2 linked regions of the Mus musculus genome follow. The protein of the gene in region 1 interacts with the protein of each later gene in a pairwise test. Links are inferred from orthologs where the notes say so. Each region holds a gene or a part of one and is shown on either strand. Other genes may lie near its edges. The genes, in order: Psmc6 and Psmd9.

Region 1 (3,072 bases):
TATTTAAACAAGAATTAACTATAAATAATCTCAATTTTTAGACATTGACAATTTCCTTATACAACTTTTGATTGCCACATGAAATTAGAATTGTGTACAGGTAACAGAACTTTTGTTTTGAACATTTAACATTCCATAGAGTAGACACTCTCAGCCTGGTATTTACTGGAAGATATTTATAGAATCCACTGGTGAACCTAAGAAATAATAGATCGCTAGAAATCACATATATGTAAAATTACATGTCCATGAACAGACTTTTCCTGGATCCAGACCACAAAAAGGGAATTATTTTTCACATAAACCAAATTATAAGTATTACTTCCAGTCATAATCTTTAAAAAGTTAAAATTATCAAATACCTAACTGCAATAGGTAAAGAGAATTTCTTGGAAGACACAAGTACATGTATATACTCCATAACCCCACACTCTATGATCTATAAAAGAAGACATTCTTGTGGACTCTGTGAGTACTGTTTAAAATTCAAAGCCCTATTTTAATTTTCAACTTCATCCAGGTTTTCAAATCATATACTTACTAATCCAAAAGGACAAGAATAAATGTGCTTTTAGAAAAGACAAGAGTATATATAGGACAACTTAAAACAGATTTTATTGCTTTTTTTTTAAGGACGAGGAAAACAAAATATAAAATAAGTCATAAGAAATGCTCTCCTCTACTATCTCAATCATTTTGAATGTTGTACAAAATGCTCACAAAGCAAATATGAAAAGCTTCAGGATGTCTTTTGTAAATTCTGCTGAAGTAAATGCAACATCACCAAACATGACTTTCTTCTGTACCAATTTTTAAAAAATTACTGAATTACATACTATTATGTTGCTTATACATGTTTATTCACTTTTAATAAGATCATTGCCAATACATACATTATTTTCCTTAACTTTATTTTTACATTAAACCAATGTCTGTCATGCAGCCACCAAACCCTTCTAGTGAATCACACAGGTTTGTAGTCCAGCTTGGACTCCAGCTTCTTGGAGTCAGCCACTTTCCTGACTGCTTTCATGAAGTCTTCCTGAACTACAAAATCATGATCGGCACGAATTGCAAACATACCTGTGGAAAACAAAACAAATTGCTGCTTATAGTGTGTGCGATGCAGTTCAATCAGTAAGACAGCTAAGCTGGGAACAGTGGTACCTGACTGTAAGTAAGCTCAGCACTTAGCAGATCTCAAGTTCAAGACCAGCCTAACATGTCAAGACCTCATCTCAAAAGAAAAGGGGAAAGAAAACTAAGTGATCTTATCTCTATGGAGGAAATGTGAAGAGATATACACTTACTACTTCTGAGCCAGTAATGCTACTTCATACATTTTCATAAATAGCGTGAGCATTGTTTTTGAAATAAGCAGATACCACAATTACCTGACTATTTAAAATCTGGACTGTGTAGTACTTAATGAAATTAATATTCATTTAATAAAAATCCTGGCAGTATTAAGTGGTGGTACTTAATAAAAACACCTGGAACAAAACATCTGGGCTAGGATGGAACAGGTAGGATGTTTGCTTAACATATGCAAGATCTTAGGTTTGATCTCAAGCAATGCAAAACTAAACAACCAACTTGCAGTGACTTTAATAATGATTACCTGTCACTAAGCAAGGCTTAAGGTTGGGGATATAGCTGTCAGGAGTATTGCCTAGATTATAGACACTTGTTCAACCATCTGTACTGCGTACTATAAGCCTAAAATCCCAGCATTTGGGAGGGAAAGGCAGGATAATCACTATACACTGTATATTTCAAAAAGTTAGAAAAAAGGATCCTAGGTGTTTTCATAGTGAAGGGAACACAGGTAATCTCCAAGGAAGAAAAGCTCCAAGTCAGGTATGCAACACAGACCTTGGACCCACACATAAATGGCGCTCACTCTTGATGACATGTACAGTTACAGGTTGTAGTTAGAGAGAGAGACACTCTCTTCAGTGGTGTAGCCACAGGAAAAGGGTCCATTCTTCTCTAAGCATCCATACTTAAACTCAACGGATCAGGGACTGGGGAGATGGCTGCTCCTCCATAGGACCTGAATTTAATCTGATCTAAGTATTACATAATATATACATGTATACAAAAACATGGTTCCTATTAATGTGTGATTTCCTTCAAAGTTTTTCAATGTGAGAAAAAAAAAGCACCTATCAAAATTTGACAGCATCAGCTTTAAAATCACAGTACTGCCTTTTGACTTTAGCTTTTCCTGAAAGTCGCCCTTGATAATTATGTGGTCTGATTTTGGAATGTGATAAATTACCCTAGAGACATGCCTTGGGTCTGAATATTCTGAATGAAAACTAAATGACTTCAACCTGGCAGTGTTTCAAAGTCACTTGTTACCAAAAATAAAACTAGTATCACGAAATTCAGAATTGTATTTTAAAACTTCATTTTGAACAAATTCCAGGACATCAGTCTTCTAGAGCAATCTTTCAAATACTGGTCTTATGGGACTTGTCCATTCTAGTTCTAGCCACAGTGTACCAAACAGTCCTGCAATCAGGCTTCCCACAACATGCCTGTGGGCATGAGATCACATCCCCAAGGGCCAACTTTATTGGGGAACGGGAGAGGGTAGCTGGTAAATCAGTGTTGTAGGCTTGCATGTCCCGCCATACAACCTCAACAGCATTCTGTACGTTTCCCTAAAATCAAAGTCAGCTACTACAGTGGTGCATCCTCCTTTGCGTTGTTCAGTTCTACTTCTTGAAATCAAGTCTCAAATGCAAACCAAAAACCAGAAATCCTGCCAAAGTGCAGCTCTGCTTTTAGATAAGCTTAGAACATTGTTATTGATGGTAAAAATATACTTTTTATTCTCACCTGCTTCAGTACAAACATTTCTCAGGTCTGCTCCATTAAAGCCATCTGAAAGCTTTACAATTGCTTCATAATCTGTTTAGAAAAAAAAAATAACAGAAATCAGCTAGATAACAATAAAGATTCAATATTGATTTTTGCCCATAGAGAAAATTTAAATGGACTAGTTCATTTTGAATTTGATCAGCATTACCTGTGCTACTATTTTACAGCATTAACAACTAA
Region 2 (3,824 bases), on another chromosome or scaffold:
ACCTGGACACCATTTGCTAGGTCTGTCCTAGAAGGAACCTCCAGAATGAGGCACCTGCCTACTCCCTGATCCTACTCGAGGAGTTGAAATCTTTGACCTCGTTACTTAGAGCCTGCCATTCTTTCCCTGTAGGAAACAAGCTCTTGGTCTTGCCACAGAGTTGTAGATTAAGCGGTACAAATGACCAGAAAATGCATCCAACCTCTCGGGTTGGCTTTACATTTTTCTCCTGTCTTTAGGGCCTGCAAGTGGATGACGAAATTGTGGAGTTCGGCTCCGTGAACACCCAAAACTTCCAGTCAGTGCAGAACGTGGGCACTGTGGTGCAGCATAGCGAGGGGGTAAGTCGGGGTGCCCTGGCATCCGGGTGTCCCACAAGCCACAGAGGCCTGCTGCTCGCACAGATCAGGGGATAGTGTGGAAGTCCAGGAGCAGGGGGCCACAGATTCAGGCTCTGGTCCAAGGATGACACAGTTTGCTTAAGGGCTGGATCACTGACTCCATCACCAGGGCTCCATCCCCATAAATTGCACCCCTCTAAAGCCCAGTCTCCTACTCCATCACACCGAGGGGCCAGTCAGCCAGCCTTTCAGTATGAGAGCTTTCCAGAGGGAAGCAGGAGTTCAGCCCATAGCGCTGGGTATCTGTCTGTCTGTCTGGGATTTTCCGGCCCAGAAGCTGTTGGGGGGATCCTCACTGCTGACAGCAGTGGTGGTGCCTCTCTCTCTCCCTGGAGAGCTTTTTCTTCCATTTGCCACATTTGTCTTACACAGCTGAGTCTTTTACACAGTTGATGGCCCTCCTGGTGCTCTTGTCTAAATCCCTCCTCTGTGTCATCCAGTAACAGTAACTAAGCTAGAAGCTGCCTTATTTTGGCACATGCCCTGTTCCCCTGCAGCTGTTATTGGGGTCCAGTTCTCCATCACTGCCTTCTCTAGACCTTGTGATGTTTCCAGCTTCACCCAGGGTGGCCGACCACGTACGTGTGCACGTGGTCACATGCTTTTCTAGGTGGCACCTGTAAAGAAGGGTGGCCGGCTCTGAGAGATCGTGTATACTTGAGGCGTCTTATTCTGTCTCAGGCTGGCCTGGATCTCACTGTGTGGCCTAGGATGATCTTGAGCCTTCTGGTTGTCCTTCCTCCCGTGCACTGGAAGTACAGTGTGCCTGGCCATGCCTGTTTTTATGTAATACGGAGCTATCTCTCTAGCCCGTGGATATAGGTTCTTCTTTTTCTGACACATATATTTCCCAGGAATTTATTCTATAATTAGTTTAGTGTAATTAGACACACATTACCAGGCCACTTTTCCCCCCAAATGGATAGTAGTTGTCCCGGTACCATTTATCATTATGAATACTTTACCCACTAGTTTACACTGTCACCTCTGTTAATATCAGATATATGGGTGGTGTTCTCTTTGTTCTGACCCTTTTTGGAGTTGCTTAGAAGAATCCATTTGTCCCTGTCTGCTTTCCTTTAACACCTTGCTATAGAGTGAGTCCAAGGACCATTTGGAAAGTTGGTAGGCCAAGACCACAGATGCTTGTCTGTCTGGTACAGTGGGCTCTCAACCTTCCTAACGCTGCCACCCTTTAATACAGTTCCTCATGTTGTGGTGGCCCCAACCATAAAATTACTTTTCTTGCTACCTCATGACTGTACTTTGGCTACTGTTAGAAACAGTAATATAAACATCTGTGTTTTCAGATGGTCTCAGGGGAGCCCTGTGAAGTGGGTGTCTCACCCCAAGAAGGTTACAACCCACAGGTTGAGAACCACTGGTCTCGTTGGACAGCTCAGCCATCCCTGCTGGCTCTGCTGGTTCTGGCCCAGAGGCTTCTGTGAGGGCCAGCCAGGACACCTGCAGACACCATGGCCACCCAAAGGGTCCAGCGAGGCTGTACATCCACTTCCACCCCATGGTCGGCCCGAGCCTTCAGTTACTCATCCTGCGGCTTCATACACCACTTGAGTGCACTACCTCAGGCAGCGAGAGCAGTGAGGGGGTCGCATCTCAGAAGATGCACAGTTATGTCTTTCTTACCTCTTAGTGACTTGCTAGGTCCAGCCCACGCCTGGGGAGAAGGGAATTGGACCTCCTGAAGGGAGGCATGTGAGAGGACTTGGGGCCTATCATTAAACTGCCCTCCGAGGGCTCCAGCCTCTCTACTCGCCCTGCCCTCACTTGTCCAGTTTGTGGAAGCTTTCCTTGTGTTAGCGGTCCCTCATCTCTGTCATGTCTTCCCAGTGTTTGTGTCTGTGGCTGTCCAGCCTTGCTAGCCTGCTGTTCTTCATCATCTCAGTGACATCATCTCTGTGACAGTGCGCTGCCACGCCCAGTGTGCGTATTTGCAGATGTGTTTTTAAAGATGTCCTGTTACATTCTGAATTCAGACCCATGGAAAACAGAACCAAAGCACAAAATTGGCACAAAGTCTTCAGGTTCGTTTCCTGGCTTCCTTTTAGCTTTTTTTCAAAAGACTTACTTTGGGGAGTCCCAATGTGCCCGCTGTCTAAAAGCCAAGTGGCCATGGTAATTTGAAAGCCACACCGCTGATCTCAGTCCTGACCCTCAGGGCCCTGCTTGAGAGTCAGGAGTCTGGGTTCTCATCGTCTCTTCTGTGACTTAAACAAAACAAAACCCCAGGTCTGTCTGTGCTGTTAGCATTTCGGAAGTTTCCAATTTTATTACGATTCTGCTTTTGTAGAGCAAACTGTTTTCATCAGCTTTCCTTCCAAAAGTATAGTGTTTGGATCAAACGCGTATATTCTCAAAGCGCAAGCAATCTTGATGGGAAAAAAATTTACTGTCTTGACCCTAAGGGTGTGTGGTTCAGTGGCAGGTCCCTTTTCAGGTGCCCAGTCATGGGTTTGGTCAACAAAAGTGTTGTTGTTGTTGTTGTTGTTGTTGTTGTTTTGCAACAACAATTTCTGTCTGCCCTGGCTGTCCTAGAGCACACTATGTAGACAGACTGGCCTCACAGAGATCCAATTACCTCTGCCTACTGAGTGCTGGGATTAAAGGGGTGCACCACCATGCCCAGCACACTGTTTTTTGGGTTTTGGTTTTTATTTATTTATTGTTTGTTTGTTTGTTTGTTTGTTTGTTATAGCCCTGGCTGTCCTGGAACTCACTTTGTTGACCAGGCTGCCCTTGAACTCAGAAATCTGCCTGCCTCTGTCTCCCGAGTGCCGGGATTAAAGGCGTGTGCCACCACACCCAGCTTTTGGTTTTTTTAAATACATGTGTGTGCACACTCGCATGCACCTTTATAATAAAAACAATGCATATTTAGTTTAGCCACAGGAATGGAGTAAATTCTCCATTACATATTACAACATGAGTATTGAAAACATAATATAAAGTGAAAGAGACCAAACAGGAGGCCATACAATTCCTCAACGAAGTTGTCCTAAAAAGCAGATCTAGAAAGCTAGAAAGGAGATTGGCTGGTGGTTGCTGGGCGGGAGGGTGAGGGTGAGGACCATGTGCTGATGGTCTTTTGGATGATGCAGACAGACCCTCTGCAGTTAGGAGGTGGTGATGGGTCTGAGAGCAGGAGACCCACTGAGCCCTGCTTTACTGTATATAAATTGTGTCTCAGTAAGAAGCCTACTGCATATTTATGTCACATACAAATTCACATTGCAAAAATGTTTAAAGTGAAAATCAAAGCACTGTGTCTGTCTCTCTCTGTAACTCCCTCCCCTGCCCTCCCCTGCCCTCCCCTGCCCTCCCCTGCCCTCCCCTGCCCTCCCCTCCCCTCCCCTGCCCTCCCCTCCCCTGCCCTCCCCTCCCCATGTGTGCTTACTTCTGGAC

Evidence for each region.
Region 2: the proteins of Psmc6 (region 1) and Psmd9 interact in binary tests that used the Homo sapiens proteins (3 or more experiments, as listed by UniProt). The two-hybrid records come from large-scale screens. The link is inferred for Mus musculus from reciprocal best matches to the Homo sapiens genes PSMC6 and PSMD9.

What each region holds. Positions count from the first base shown.
Region 1 is NC_000080.6:45,346,594-45,349,665, reverse strand, and holds the end of Psmc6 (26S proteasome regulatory subunit 10B), read right to left. Parts: intron 2,923-3,072; coding exon 2,851-2,922; intron 1,084-2,850; coding exon 965-1,083; 3' UTR 595-964; downstream 1-594. UniProt on the Homo sapiens protein: Component of the 26S proteasome, a multiprotein complex involved in the ATP-dependent degradation of ubiquitinated proteins.
Region 2 is NC_000071.6:123,241,593-123,245,416, forward strand, and holds part of Psmd9 (26S proteasome non-ATPase regulatory subunit 9), read left to right. Parts: intron 1-239; coding exon 240-341; intron 342-3,824. UniProt on the Homo sapiens protein: Acts as a chaperone during the assembly of the 26S proteasome, specifically of the base subcomplex of the PA700/19S regulatory complex (RC).